2 linked regions of the Rhinolophus ferrumequinum genome follow. The protein of the gene in region 2 purifies or fractionates together with the protein of the main gene of each other region. This does not show direct contact. Links are inferred from orthologs where the notes say so. Each region holds a gene or a part of one and is shown on either strand. Other genes may lie near its edges.

Region 1 (7,482 bases), on a different chromosome or scaffold from region 2:
GAGGTTCCTTCCATGTAGTATTTGGGACTACTAAAAAAGTATTCCTTGTTTATCTGAAATTCAAATTTAACTGGGCGTCTTATATTTTAGCTAGCAACTCTACTCTGGATACATTTTAGTTTGCATATGTTTTTAAAATGGAGCACCTAGAACTTAAGATAATGTGTCAGTTGAACCCAGAAGCAGAGCTCAAGTAGGTGAGAAAGGCTGGAAGGGGAAGGAAAAAGGATATGGCCCACTCCTTCATCCCCCACCACCATGCTTCTGTGTGAAAAGTAGGGTACAGTGTGCTCATGGAGGGCATAAAGCCCCCTCCCCCAGCTCAGTGTCAAGGCACAAGTGGGGTACCTCTGTGTAGCACCAAGATTGGCAGCCCTGGTCTTAGGTAAAGAATCTCTTCCAACATCTCAAAGTCCCCTGTAGCTATTTCTAACTTCTTTTTCACAATCAACTTGGCTGTCTGTATTCATTGTGGGAGGTTATTTTTAGCTCAAGTGGGTAGCATATTTGCAGAATACTACACACAATGGTTTGTGCCTCTCCTATCTACTTACCTCCCTTTGAATTTTTTTCTCTTTCCTGGCATCAATCCTTTGAATTTCTTTGTAGTACTACTGATCTTTTGATACATTCAACTAGAATATAAGCTCCTGTAGGACAAGGGCCAGGTACACTGTTAACATAATAATAACGCCTCCCTTTTGTAGAGAGCTTTAACTGCAAAAGCCTTGTCTCATGCCATTTTCTTATTTTCTCCTCATACTCTTCTACCCCAGGATCCCTGTAGGAGTAAATGCTACAGGGTGGGTGCCTGGGGACACAGCTGGCCGGGTGGAAGTGACATTAGGGCAGTTCTAGTCATCTAAGAACACTTTCTCCACGAGCTCCCATTTCAGTCTTTTAAGGCCAGAGGTCACAGAGCAAAGCCCAAACTTCACTCATTCCAAACAGAGGAGACCCCTTGCTGTTTTTGAAGCTCCGTCAGATGGATATTCCACAACTTCCCCCAAGGCCTCACGAGTATTAAATGACTCTCACTCATCAGGAAGTGAAGGCTTCCTCTCCCACCCTTCCCTTTTTGACTCTTAATTCCATTCTCTAATTCTGTGATTAAATCTTAAATTTCTTTCTGATTAGTAATCCCCAGTGTAATTTCACTAGGGGACATAGACACCTGGAAACAACACGAGGACTATTTTCATGAAAATGAGTAGGGGAACGAAAGGCCACGTGTGGTAATACTCCATCGCCTGCCACTCTGATGAACGACATCGCGTCAGGGTCATCTGGAGACTGGGTCATCTGGTGGAGGTGGCAAAGCGCGCACACCAAGGCTGGGTGAATCTTGCGACCATCAGCCAATTCATTCCTTGGGACCTTTCACATTGCCATTCTCCACTTTAAATAATAAGGTGAATGTATTGATCTTAGCAGGAAAAGCAGCTAGCAGTATGAGGGTGGGGACCCTTAGGAGATTTTCAGGGGCAATGTGTAGAGGCGGACACGTGTAATCTGGCTGTTGTGACCAGAGCCCTCTGAGGGTCATTGTGACCTGGCCACGGAAACCTGTGGTGGGACTCACCTCCTTGGGGATGAGTGTGGGTCAGAGTTGCTGGAGAGTGAGCCTTCCTGTCCCAGGCAAACCCATAGACAACCAAACTAAGAACAGTTGACTGCGGCAAAAGCCTTACTCTGGCATAAAGATGTCTTTCGTAACACAAGCATCATCAGATTCCGGAGTCGTGAATTATAACCAATTGTGCTGGTCTGCTGTGGGTGCTGTTTCTTTCGTGAGAAATGTATTTTATCCTTTGGTCATCAGGGCTACCCAGAGGGTATGGTGGTTATGACCAACTGTCTGGAGTTATTCTTTTATGCTCCTTTTCTGCTACAAAAACAGCTGTCGTGGGCTGAGTCTCATGACACAGGTGACTGCCCGCGACCAACGGCTATCCATTTCAGTCCTCGTGTTACTCACCCTGCCCTGAACAGTTTCATTTTATATTTCTATTTCAATTACTAACCACTGTTATTTCCATGAGTGTAAGATGCACCATTCATTTAATAACACCTGGGGGTGGGGTGGGGAGGAAATAAGAATCCTGAACACATTAAATATGCACCATCTAGTGTCCGCTCATCCCTACGCCTCATAGCTAAAGACCTACTAATCCTTCAAGACTCACTTCACAGTCATCCCCTCTGAGAAGCTCTTTTGACAACCTTCCTCAGGACTGACCACTCCCTTGTGTCACAACTGCACCTTACCCAGGCTGCCACACCTACTATAGTCATGATGCACAGACTGTAACCACCTCAAGGGCAAGAACTATCTTATTCATCTCTGGCTTCCCAGAGTCTAGCCCAGTGCCTGACATCACATTTGCGCTATACACATTTGTGGAAGACCTACCATGTGCCAGGAACACTCCTGACTTGCACGTGTCTGTTAAATGAAAGATTTTTCGCAAACATCGACTGTGCAGTACCATGGGAAAGACAAAATGAGAATGTGACAGTCTCTCTGGCACTTCCACTATTATAGCGAGACGGGAGCAGGATGAATGCTGTGCTGTCCTAATCAATTTGGGCTGCTTAACAAATGCCACAGGCTGGGGGGCTTAAACGACAAATGTTTATTCCTCACAGTTCTGGAGGCTGGGAAATCCAAGATCAAGGTGATGGCTGATGCATTTCCAGGTGAAGGCTCTCTTCCTGGTTTGCAGACACATACCTTCTTGCTGTATCCTTACCTGGCACAGGGATCATCTCTCTCCTCTCTTTTCGTAAGGGCACTAATCCCATTCAGGAGGGCTCCAATCTCAGGACCTACTTACCTCCCAAAGTCCCATCTCCAAATACCATTGGGGATTAGGGCTACAGTATGCGAATCTGGGGAAGTATAAACCTTCAGTCCATAGCATGTGCTCACATGTATGTGATTAAGTGCCAAAACGTGTGGTTCAGACGTTAAGTGCTGTGGGTAGTTAAGAAAGGGAAAGATCTGAGCTTCTGCAGGGACCAGGCCTTACTCTTCTGTGTAGCTCCAGCATCTCCCAAAGCCTAATGTGAGGCTTGCGTTTCAAGTTAATTGAATTAAACTGAAAAAGTTCCCAGAGAAACGCTCGAGGATTCTAGGAGACGGGAAGGAATTGCAGGATGGGTGGACAGCATGGCAAAAGGCTTGGTGGCAAGAACGAATTAAAAAACATTTTTATAAATTGTGTTATAGATCACATAGAATTTACCCTTTTGCCCATTTTTAAGTGACGGTAAGTACATTGACATGGTTATGCCATCAAGGATGAAATTTGGAGTCTCTTTCAGAAGGGCTCATAGCCGGGTGATCACACATTTGTTAGCGGAATAACAAACACTTGTCAGTGGAAAGAATAATGCCTCCGCGTAAAAGTGTGTTTCTCTCCCCAACTTAGGCAGTTTCCCCACTAACATCTGTGATTTGTTTTGCATCTATTAGTGTGAGACTGTGGTGTGTGTGGGGGGGCAGGGGGCCCAGTGCTGCTCCCAGTATGTTTAAATTATCCTTGTGAAGTTCTACACAATGAACACTAAAAATTTCCGCCCCCAAGACTGGGCCTTTTGTATTCAAATCAAAAGCACAAAACCCTATTGTGGGGGGAAAAAAGGATCTATTGGCCACCAGTTGCGACCACTTAAAGGACATTCCATGTAAAGTACTGTAGCTATTAATACACTTGAGTGTTTTCTTTTTTGTTTTGTCTTTCATGGGCGTGTGTGAGAAGTGTTCTCGTAGCCCATAGGCACCACGGAGAGGGAAGAAGGTGGGCGAGGGACGGTGAGGCCCACCCAGCCGCAGGGCAGTGAGCAGAGCTGTGAGATTGGGGTCCTGGTTTTGCCACTTCGCTGTGAATCCTTGGACAAGTCACCTAAACACTTAAGGCCGCTGTACCACAAGGAGGATGTTATCCATGGCCTTTAACGTGCTTCCATGTCTTTCAGTCCTATCTGAATAATTTTTCGCAAGGGCCACGCTGCCTGGTTGGTGGGGTGCTTAGCTTGGGACCTGGGGGTGAACGTGCGGGCAGTTAGCCGAGGGAACAGGAGACAAGCGTGGGTGATTCCAGAGCGGTGGAACGCTGGGTGTCCCAGAAAGGAGCTAAAGCGATGGGATTTCCAGACGAGTCTTTCCAAGGCCAACTTTTAAAGGTCGGAGGAAAGTTTGTCGTGGGGCGGGAGCCCGAGGGGAGAGCTGGGTGGGCTCCGCCGCCTCCTCCCCTTTAAGCGGGCGGTCCCGGCGCTCGCTCCGTTACCTGGAGCGGGGAGGGGCTTGGGAAAGTTTGTGTTTGTTGCTGGCAAAGCGCCCGATGGGAGGCGCGGGCGGGCGGGCGCTGCGGTTCTTCCCTTTTGCTTTCGGGAAGCGGCCGGGGCTGCTGGCTCGGCGCAGCGGGGCGGCTCTGGCGCCCGGCTCCCGGGGCCCGGCCGGCCGGAGGAGGGCGGGGAGGAGGTAGGCGGACCGGCGGGAGCGCGGGGCGCACGTCCGCCCAGCGCTGGGATTGCTCGGCTGGCGACGAGAGCGGAGCAGGCGCGCGGCCCAGGCGGAGGAGCCGACTCTGGAGCAGCCGGAGCTGGAGGAGGAGGAGGAGGAGAGGCGGCGGGGAAGGAGGAGGAGGCGGAGAGTCACTCCCGCCCGGCGAGCATGGGGCGCCTGGCGCCCAGGCCGCTGCTGCTGGCGCTGTTGTCGCTGGGTGAGTGCGCGCGGGGCTTGGCGGGGCGCGGGGACCGTGGGGCCCTGGGGGTTCGGCGGGGCGCGGCTGCAGCGCGCGGCCTGGGGCGCCGAGGGTGCCGGGGCCACTCCCGGGAGACCCGGCCGGGGGACGCGGGCGGCGCGGCCCGGCGGGGAATGACCGCGGGGCCTCCGGGAGCGAATCCGGCCCGGCAGCGCGCGGGGTACCTGTCCCGGCGTCGCCAGGCCGAGCCTCGCCCCCCACACGTGCGGGGGGAGTGGCTCGTGACCCGCTGCCCCCAGCCCTCCCTACCTGTTGGCCGCCCGGAGCCGGGCTCACCTTGATCGCAGGCCCGGAAGGTGCCTGCGGTCCCCGATCAGTGTCCCCAGCTTGGGAGCGGAAATATGCGCCTTTGATCTACCTGGTGGTAGTCGAGCCCCGCCGACTCGCTCCTCACACACAAACCCAGGATGAGTTGCCTTTCTTGGGAAGCCAGACAATCCACCAACTTCCTTCTACGAAGGTCACGAGGTGGCCCAGAGCGCTACAATAGAAATCAGTGTGCGAGTCCTTCTGTCATGTTGGCTGTGGTTAGAGCTTCTGCCTGAGTCTTTTCCTTTATTTCTTCTGGAAACTGCCTAGCTCCATATTTACACACAAAGACCTACGAGGCTTGGCTTCTCCAACTTTTCCTACCTGTTACTTTTTCTGCCTTTCCTGTCCCCTGTCTTCCACCCTTCGCAAACCTCGGTGCCTCTTGATAAATTGGCCCAATGCCCTCCCCCAACCCAAGGAATCTTTGGTGGGTTTTTTTCTCTTCGTTTTCCTTTTACTCCATGCATACAGACACCATCTTCAAAGCAGATACATATCGTTGTCTTGGTATATTAACATAACTATGTGGGAATCAGCCACAGAAATACATCTGTTTATTAAGTGCCCACCGTGGTGCCCCAGGGCTGACCCTTATGTGCTTTGATATTCTTGAATCCTTTTGGTCTGTGTCAGAAGAGAAAGAATGCTGTTACCTGACCACCGGTTTCCTTCCAAGCCTTTGGAGAAGGCAGATCAGAATCTTTTGCAGAGTGCATGGCGTGGGGTGTCTGTCCCAGCCAGGCCCCAGCTGCACACGGGGTAAATGACTACTCTGCACTTACGGTCTGAGGGTCCCAGTGGAGGACCTCCACAGCCGCTCCCATCCTGATGGCTCCAGGGCACCCACTGTCCCAACCCCCATGCCTCTTGCTGCTGGTGGGCCAGGCTTTCTGCTGCTACTGTGTTCTCTTCGCCTCCGAGGGGTTTTCTGGAACTCACTCCCCAAGAGAGCTTATCCAGCCACATTGTTTTAGCTGCGACCATTTGCAGAAAGCTTCCAGATCTTTCACTTAGTTTTGAAGCCTCTCTTCTGTGATCTCGGATCCTAGGGCTTTTATTCTTTTCTTTTCACTCTGGGACCCTTGTAAGATCGTTTGTTTCGTACTGCTGGTGATAGTCCATAATAGTTAATGGGCTCATGTGTTTGGGTCAAACAGGGCCATGGCTAATGGTTGCACAGACTGTGCACTGCACAACTGGGAACTGCTGTTCACTTCATAGTCTCTGTGAGAATGACTCCCCCTAGAGTTGTGCAGGTCACAACCTGTGTATCAGTAAAGGTAGACGTTTGGAAAAAAAAATGCCCTTGAATAGCTATGATAAGGGAGAAAAAGGGAGAGAAGAAAGGGCAAAGGGAGAAAATAGAAGTGGCAACGCAAAAACAAGTGGAGGAAGCGCAGCTTGGGGAGATCTTCATTATGTACCAGTGTATCCCGCCCTGGCTGGACATCTCATGTTAACTACACACGGGTAATGTCTGTGGTGTCCCCAGCCAATGTCTTATCCCCTAGCAGGTCCCTGAACTTGAACCTGATAACTCTGCCCCACAGAACCTCACTCCGAATGGCTTCAGTCTGACCTTCGGGGAGGCCTCCCTATTGTACCACTCTAGTACTGTCCTGATTCCTGAAACGTAATATGTTGATAAGCAAGATCGTCTTTCCTCTCGTATTGCAACCGGGGCATAGTCTTGCCGTCACTTTCTTTGACTTCCATGTTCACTCTGTCCCTCAGTCCTGTGGCTTTTCCCATAGCGCAAACTCCACGGTTTTCCCGTCCTTCCTGTTTCTACAGCTACTATTCTAGCCCAAGATGTGATACTTCCCCACACGGTTCACTTCTGACATCTTCCTGGTTGACTCTTTCCACCAGCCTCCCTTCTAAGGTCATCATTTTCCTAAAGGATCAGCTTTGGGGGTCCTGCCTTTGTGTGCTGGTTTTCTTTTTCTTTTCTTTTTTTTTTTTTTTTAGGACTTTTTTTTTTTTTTTTTAAGAAAGATAGGCTTCCCCTTGTGTTCTCTCCCCTCTGCTCTTCTGTCTTGATTCAGACACTTCATTCTAAGTAACCTGTTTGCTCTCCTTTACGTAGAACATTTGTGAGCCTTCTGGCTCTTCCAGGTCCTTTAGCCTCGGAATGTCCCTCCTGCTTCTCTCCTCTTGCCTGGGTTCCTCCTCTTGCCTGGGTTCCTCTTGCCTCCTATTTCCTTTCCCCCTAAAACTCACTGCCTGCATGAAGCTTTGCTAAGTCTACCGATCACCATCTCATCAACTTCATATGTCTGCCTCTGTCTGACCTATCTTGTTTATGCGTTCAGTATAGCATTTCTCAAATACCCGTAAGAATCCATACGGGTGTCCCAGACCAATGCCTCACTGAGTGGTGGGGGTGGGTGGGTGGGGG
Region 2 (7,710 bases):
CGTTCCCAGCCGGGTCTGGCCACCCTGCCTCTGGAAGGCAGCCACCAACTGCATTAGGCGGACGGGCAGCCAGTCCCAGGCAAGGAACGCTCTGCTCCTCTCCCCGCAAGGACCAGTGGCTCCCTGGCCAGCCCCCCAGAAGTGGGTTCTTATCATGCCCATTTCCCAGGTGAGGGCAGCAGGGCTCATGCAGGCCAGCCGCCTGCCCCAGGTCACCAAGTCCAGTGCGGTGAGCAGGGATCTGAGCCTGTGCCCTTCCTCATCTGCTCCAGTACCGTACCGGCCCCCTCTGCCAGGAAGCCCCCTGTCCCACCCCGATGGGCAGGGGTCCCATGCTGCCTGGCTCCGGCTCCCAACCTGATACCTGGCTGGCTGGGGAGCCCCAGGGTCTCAGCACCGGCAGGGCAGGAGAGCAAGTGTGCAGGGTGACCCAGCTCCTTCCTGGAGAAGCACGCCAGGCCACCTTCAGGCCTGCTCCCACGTGCTTGGGGCCTTTGCCTTTCTACTTACTCCCCAAGAAGGAATTTTACAAAGTTTCTGGGTCCACATACCCATTGTCACCCTCTTCTCCCGGCTCCCACCCTTGGCAGCCACTCCTGCACTGTGACTGGGGTGCCCAGCTAGCAAGTCAGGTTGGGCACTGGGAGCCCCACGTAGGGGCCTGAAACCCTTCCCCAAGGCACTGCCTCCACCGGGACCACGCTGAGCAGGCTTCCTGCTGGCCACCTGGCCCAACATCCATTTCCTGAGTTCAGCCCCTACCTGTGAGCCAATCGACCAGCAACGCCAGGAGATAGGATTCGGAGGACCCCACTTTAGAGGGGAAGAAGCTGGGGGCTAGGACCAGAGCAGTGGGAGGGAAACTTTGCCCAAGCCCAACCCCACTGCACCAGGCTCAGCCTGGTGATGGAGCGGGGTGCAGAGAGGGGCTCCTGCAGGGTGTGCCCCCAGCCCCACAAGGCTCAGCTCTGCATTCCCTCACCAGAGGGGGTGAACCGGCATGGGTGGGTGGGGCCACGGTGACTGGACCATGGAGACCTACGGTGCAGACACAGTTCTCAGTGCTCAGCTGGAAGTGGGAGGGAGGGGACAGGCCTCGGAAACATTTCCCTAAGTCTCAATAAAGAACAGCCCCAAGGGACGTGTGGAGCCTCCACCCCAGCTGCTTGGGAAACTACCAGACTGGCCCAGCTGCCAGCTCCAGGGGGCCTGATCTGCAGACCTCCCCAGCTGGGCAGGTGGGAGGGACTTACAGCCCAGACACCAGGCCCAAAGACAAAGAATCTACTCCTGGAGAAGTCCCCTTCCTGTGCCTACCCTCTACCGCCCTGCCAGGGTCCTCGCCCCCATATCCAGGCTCAGCAGAGGGGCATCTGGGTGCCCCATTGACCCCTATGTTTGCCTGGCCAAAGCCGGCAAACACTAAATCCAGGACGACACCACCCCTCAAAGGCCCTAGTGGCTGCCTGGGGCCAGGCTTGGCCCACCCCCAAGGCAGAGGCCAGTGGCCTCCAGGGGTCCCCTAGGTCGATGTGACACCGCACTCTACCCCCAGCTAGAGTTCAGTCCAGTCTCTGTCTTCTCGACCCCAAATCCCTTGCTGCCCGAGAACCGCTCTGGGTCCTGGCTGTCCAGATGGGAAGCATATGTTCCCACCCCACATACTCGGGGTGAGCAGCCAGGCGTGGCAGCAGCATGGAGGAGCCTGGGAGGGGTCCCAGTCACTGCCCAGGGAGGAGGGCACGGCCATCATGAGAGGGGCTCCTTCCACCGCCTCTCCGGTCCCAACACTGACAGGAAATGGAAACAAAAGCAAAACTCCATCAGTCACTGACCAGCAGTTTACACCCAAGTCAGGAAAATCCCAAAAGGACTATCCTGTGGGTGCTTCTTTCCACAGTGGAAGTCCCAGGCCAGCCCCTGGCCCCCAGAGCTCAGGGACACCCAGGTCTTCAGGCCCCTGCCCTGTGCCAACTGGAAGGGACTGCCCCATCCCCACTCTCCAGGCCTCCACCACCTTGGGGGCCAGGCCTGGCTGGAATCTCGGTCTGGGTGAGAAGGGCAGGGGGATCTGGCCCCACACACGGGGGCCACCACGGTGCAGGCACGCCAGCACACAGGCCACACCCGGCCCAGTGTGCTTCCTGTCTGCTCACCCCAGTCCAAGACCCCAAGAACGGTCCCAGGGTGACGACAGCTGACTGGGGGGTGAGCTGGGCTGGGCCAATAGTGGGGTGGCCAGTACCCAAGACTCGGACGGCGTGTGCACCCCCAACCTGGCCGCCCATGCAGGGGCGGTGGCCTGGATGAGCTCATGGGGGCGGGACGCCCTGAGACCCGCCCTCAAGCCCCCCCCCCCCAGTCCCCGCGAGGCAGGGTGGTCCCAGGAACAGCATCCAGGGGGCTGAGCAGCCCCAGTACGCGGCCCGGAGCCCGCATCTACCCCACCTATCACCATCACCAGGCGGGAACAGACCTGAGGCCCCCAAACGCCCCGGCCCGGCCGCGGGGACCCGGGCCCTGACGCCCACAGGCCCCCAAACCCGGCTCGCAGCCCCCCGCCCCGCCGTCAGGGGTCGCGACGCTCCCAGACGACCCCCACTGCCCTGGCCTGCCGGCCCAAGACCCCCAACCCCGCGCCCAGCGCGCACAGGTGGCCCCACAACTTGGCGGCCCGGCCGTGCCCCCTCGGCGGGGCCTAGCGGGGCGCGCGGCCCGCGGCTCTGCTCTGGGGCGCCCCCGCCCCGCCCCCCCCGGCCGGGGCTCACCCAGAAGACGAAATTGAAGACGAAGAGCAGGTACTTGATGCACTTGGTGCAGCCCTCCACCCCCATGGCGGCGCGGGCGGCGGGCGGCCTGTGTGGCGCGGGCCGGTCCTGGGCAGAGGGGCGCGGGGCCTGGGGACCTGGTGAGCGGCCGGGGGCTGAGACGGCGGCCGACGGGCGCGGAGGCAGCGGGCGCGCGGGGACGAGTGGCGCGGGAGGCCGGACTGGGATACGTGAGGCCGGAGCCGCCGCTGCGCGCTCGCTGTCGGTCCGGGCGCGCGCCCCGCTCCGCCACTTATATGGCGTCCAGACACCGCCCCCCCGTTTGCTCCGCCCCCGTCTGCTCCGTCCCCGGCCCCGCGGCCCCGGAGGCAACCCCTCCCCCTCGCACGCACACTTAGAGGACTTGGTGTCCCCAGGACCCCAGACCCAGACGCGTTGTGCTGGGCGCAGCGACAGGACCGCGGCGAGGATGCCCAGGGAAGAACCTCTCCCTTTCTCCCACAATTCTTCTTCAGGCACCTTGTACCTACCCAAGAAGGCTTCCTGGAAGAGGTGATGCGCCAGCAAAGGCTACGTAAGCCAAGATAGCAGCGCCCTTTATTCGCATCGCTCCCGGGAATGGGAACCTGGGTGGGCGATGAGGCCTGAGAGTAAGCGGACCTCGACCTGAAGATCCTGGAATGCAATTCTAGGCATCCAAACCCTTTTGTCCCGTGGTCCGGGGAGTCGCTGACCACTCTTAGAAGAATCTGTTTCGAAAGGTGTACCCTAGGCCACTGCTAACTGTCTAGGAAGCCCAAGCCACCTGTAGGAGAACCTCCAAATGTCTTGTACGTATTTCGTGCATGTGTCAGTGGTGCCAGGTCGCCCAGATGCTGCTGTCTTCCTGAAGTGAGGGTGGTCCCACTGCCCTCACTGCCCGGGGTAATGAGGAGGTAGACAGGTGACTCCTCAAGTGAGGGATGCTTTCTCCCCAGGTGACAGAGCAAGTCTGCAGCAAAGTGACAAGCAGATGAAGCCATGGAAATGCCCACTGCCACAAATGACTACTGCCCACTTGAAACGTGGCCAGTGCCCCCGCCGAGAACTGAGGTTTTCATTGTAGTAAATTTGGATGGCCGCGGGTAGGCAAAGGCGGCCACATTACAGAGGAGCCCTGTCGTATTCATCTGTGCTCAGCTGTCGTGTTCTTGGTGGTTAATTTTAAATTTTGTTTTGGCTTCACGCGTGTATGAGAGCTCCAAGCACACGTTTACACCTAGTGTTGTTTATGCACGTCCAAGTGACATAATAAAAGTAACTGAAGTCTTCTTCCTTTGAGGGTCTGCCAGGGTTGTTTTTGTTGAAAAGGAGGCAGGACAGTGTTGGTGTAAGGAAATGCCTGCCCTGATGTCCTGGGGGTCCTGCGCTCCCCACAGCTCCCCGCTGTCCAGTTACAGGTCAACTGCCAAAGAAGTGGGGTGAATCCTCAGAGAACGGCCTTCCCTGGGCCCCGTGGGGGGAGCAGGAGGACACTGAGCCCACCCTCAGGGAGCAGGGCAGAAGCATGCCCACTGCGCTGCGTCGCTGGCCAGCCCTCCCCAGAGCAGGTCACACCTGGCTAGCCTGGTCTGTGCTTTGCTTCAGTCATGTGGCAGATGTTTAGTGGTGCCTGTTACCTGCCAGCTGCAATTCCAGGCACTGACTGTGGGAGCTGACCAGCCAGGACCCCTTCCCTCAAGGACTGTTGGCCTGTGACAGATGCTGCCTCACGATGATCATGTCTCATGTTGACTGGGGAGGGAGGAAATTTCCAGGAGGCTTGAAAGAGTCATGGAGTGGGGGGTGGGGAGGGCAGGGGCGGGGCACTCCTCTCCTTGCGGGTTTGGAGGATCCACAATGAGTCCTGGCCCTAGAGAGTGGGAAAGAGCCAGCTCTGCCCTCCAGGCAGATGGGAGACTGGTAGGAGGAGCAGAAAGGATGCTAGTAGGGCGGGAGCAGAAGGAGGGAAAGAGGGCCACACCCAAGGAGGTCAGGGCCAAGGGTGAGGTGGCTGGCTCTCCGGCCTGAAGGCCAGTGTGAGGTCTCCTTCAATCCTGACTGTCGTGGGAGCCATTGGCGGGTTTCTGCAGGGGCACCACAGGCATGACTTCTGACCTGAATGGGGACATATGTGGGAGCAGACTGCCTTAGCCCCACAGTGGGACCTGCATTCACAGGGAAAATGGGCCTCGAGGGTCGGGACCACCTCCAGGGGCTGGTACCTGTGGGCTGTCCGCAGGGACCACTTCTGAAGTGCCAGGGGCCACCAACTGACCTTGTGAGGACTGAAGGGGACCAGTGCATTAACCGGGGTTTTCCAGAGAAACAGAATCAGTAGGAGGTGTGTGTGTGTGTGTGTGTGTGTGTGTGATGTACTATAGATTATAAAGGAGATTATTACAAACCAGCTCGTGTGATTATGGAGTCTGGGAGGTCCCAGGACCTGCCATCTGCAAGGAGACCCAAGACAGCGGGGCGTTTAGTTTCAGTCCAGATGTCAAGAGCAGGGAGCTGATGGTGTAAATCCCAGACCGAAGGCTGGAGATGAGAGGAGAGGTCCCAGCTCATGGGATGAGGCAGGAAAAAGGGGAGAGTCCCCCCTTCCTCTGCCTTTGGTTCTACTCAGGCCTCAGTGGGCTGGATAAGCCCTCCAATTGGGAGGGCCACTGCCTCACTGAGTCCACCTGTTCAAATGCTAATCTTACCTGGAGACACCCCCGGGTATTCCCAGAAATAATATTCCATCTGGGCACCCTGTGGCCAGTCACGTTAACAAACACACAACACTGAACATCACAGTAGCAATGACATGTGTGGCAGTGTGATCTGGGGCAGGTGGGCCTCAGGGACTGCGTCCTGGGAAAGATCCCCAGAGCCCCACTGTGGGCTGGATGGCCCACAGCCTGGAGCTTCCATCCAGGCTCTGAGACACACAGACCCAGAAGGGCTGCGTCAGAGAACGATGGAGAGAGGGGAGAGGCTTGCCTGCGCCAGGCCTGGCGTGGGAGACCCCTCCCTGTGCCTGCCCCGCCCACCAGCCCATGGGCGGGGCTGAGGTCCTGAGGACAGGCGGGGCAAAGAGTGGGCCTTGCTGCCCCGGTGTGTTCAGCTCCGAGTCTCTTTCCCTCCGTGTGACTTCTGGCTGGTTCCTCAGTTTCCCCATATGCAGTGGTGCCATGGAATGTGAGGCGGTGAGAGGAGCAGCATGCTGGAGGCCACTGCCTCCTTTAAGCTTGTTGGGCAGACAGACTTCACTGCCAAGCCCAACTCCAAGGACGGGTGACTCACTGCTCTTCTGGGACATGCTTTCTGTTCAGGGGGAATCACTGAACCCCGCCCTGTGCCTTGATTTCCTGTGGAAGTAAACCGAGACCACCCAGATGAATGGAACAGAGGCTGTTTATGCAGAGAATGCTGCAAAGGGGATTCAGCCACCCTCACTGCACTTGGCTGAGACTCAAAGGCAGGCCCTGAGGGGAACAGCTTCCTACTTACAAAAGGAAGACTTTACCATCCGAAAAACAATCCATGCACCGCACCACATTGATGGAGTCAAGGACAGGATCATCTCCACAGTTGCAGGAAAAGCATTTGACCAAACCCAGCACTCTATCCTGATGAAAACACTCGACACCTCAGGAATGGAAGGGTTCCTTGAACGTCTCATAAAGGGCACCTTCAAAAACGCCGCTGGCTGATAGCATTACCAAGTGCAAGACTGGAAGCATTTCCCCTAAGGGGAGGAACAAGACGAGGACAGCCACTCTCCGTCGCTGGAGGCTGTGGCCAGGGCACGTAGGCAAGATGAAGACAGAAAAAGGCATCTGTACTGGACAGGGAAGCAGAGGACGTGACATAGTGCATAGAAACCGCGAAGAAATACACCCAAAACCTACTGAAACTAATAGACACCTGCAGCAATTGGCAGGTGACAGGATCAAGGTACGAAAATCAATTTTATATCTATACACGAGCAATGGACAGTCCACACATGGAATAAAGAAGACAATCCCATTTGTAATAAATAGCAGCAAACAGAACAAAGTATCTGGGAATAAATTCAGCCAATTTATTATAAGACTTGGACACTGGGAACTACAAAACATTGTCAAAGGACCGAAGGCAGGTCTAAGTCAATGCAAAGGTTCCTGGGGTTCACAGATCAGAAGACTCAGTCTTGCCACAATACCAGTGCTCCCCAAATTGACCGACGGCTCCACACAACCCCTATGACAGTCCCCATTGGCTTTACCAGGCTCACCCTAAGTACTATACGATTACAAGGGCCCCGGGACACCCAAAACAGTCGTGAAAAAGGAGAATAAATTTGTTGGGTTCACACTTCCCGGTTCAAACTTCCTGCAAAGCTACGGTGATCAGAACCATGTGGAAACCAAATGCATAGAATCGAGAGCCCGGAAATCGATCCTCACCGTCCGGGACCCTCCATTCCGTGTCGTCCCCATCAGGCATCGGTCCATATAATGGAGCTACGCCTACGAGACAGTCTCTTCTCTGGCCCTGAGCCTCGTTCGAGGCGTGAATGCCGCCTCGGGCCCCCCTCATTACATGACATAACCGGCTCAGTCATCCCTTCCCCTCAGCTGCTACTCCTCCCCCCCTCCATCTACACCCAGACACTTCCACCTGCGGGATGACATCAAGTTTGAAAGCGCCTTTACCGTTCTAACTTGGGAACCAGCCTTCCTTCTGGCACTGGAACTTACAGCCCTTGCCTTGTGATCACTGCAAAGGGGGATGGGGGAATGGAGGTGATGTGGGAAAGAAAAACTATATTTGTCATATTGGTGGACCCAGGTGGCCACCTTAAGCGAGCGCATGAGGATATCTGCTTGCTGATCCCAGTTACCTGCCAAACCTGGAAGGGGGTTCCCCTGATGGGCATTGACATGGACCCCTC

What was found. Proteins that work in one complex are often made in the same cells at the same time.
Region 1: the proteins of CD81 (region 2) and PTGFRN purify together in Homo sapiens (co-immunoprecipitation; 7 studies listed by BioGRID and IntAct, with this or other methods). This does not show direct contact. The link is inferred for Rhinolophus ferrumequinum from reciprocal best matches to the Homo sapiens genes CD81 and PTGFRN.

Annotation. Positions count from the first base shown.
Region 1 is NC_046305.1:47,024,779-47,032,260, forward strand, and holds the start of PTGFRN (prostaglandin F2 receptor negative regulator), read left to right. Parts: upstream 1-4,339; 5' UTR 4,340-4,678; coding exon 4,679-4,727; intron 4,728-7,482. UniProt on the Homo sapiens protein: Inhibits the binding of prostaglandin F2-alpha (PGF2-alpha) to its specific FP receptor, by decreasing the receptor number rather than the affinity constant. Functional coupling with the prostaglandin F2-alpha receptor seems to occur.
Region 2 is NC_046294.1:1,565,870-1,573,579, reverse strand, and holds the start of CD81 (CD81 antigen), read right to left. Parts: upstream 3,030-7,710; 5' UTR 2,835-3,029; coding exon 2,769-2,834; intron 1-2,768. UniProt on the Homo sapiens protein: Structural component of specialized membrane microdomains known as tetraspanin-enriched microdomains (TERMs), which act as platforms for receptor clustering and signaling.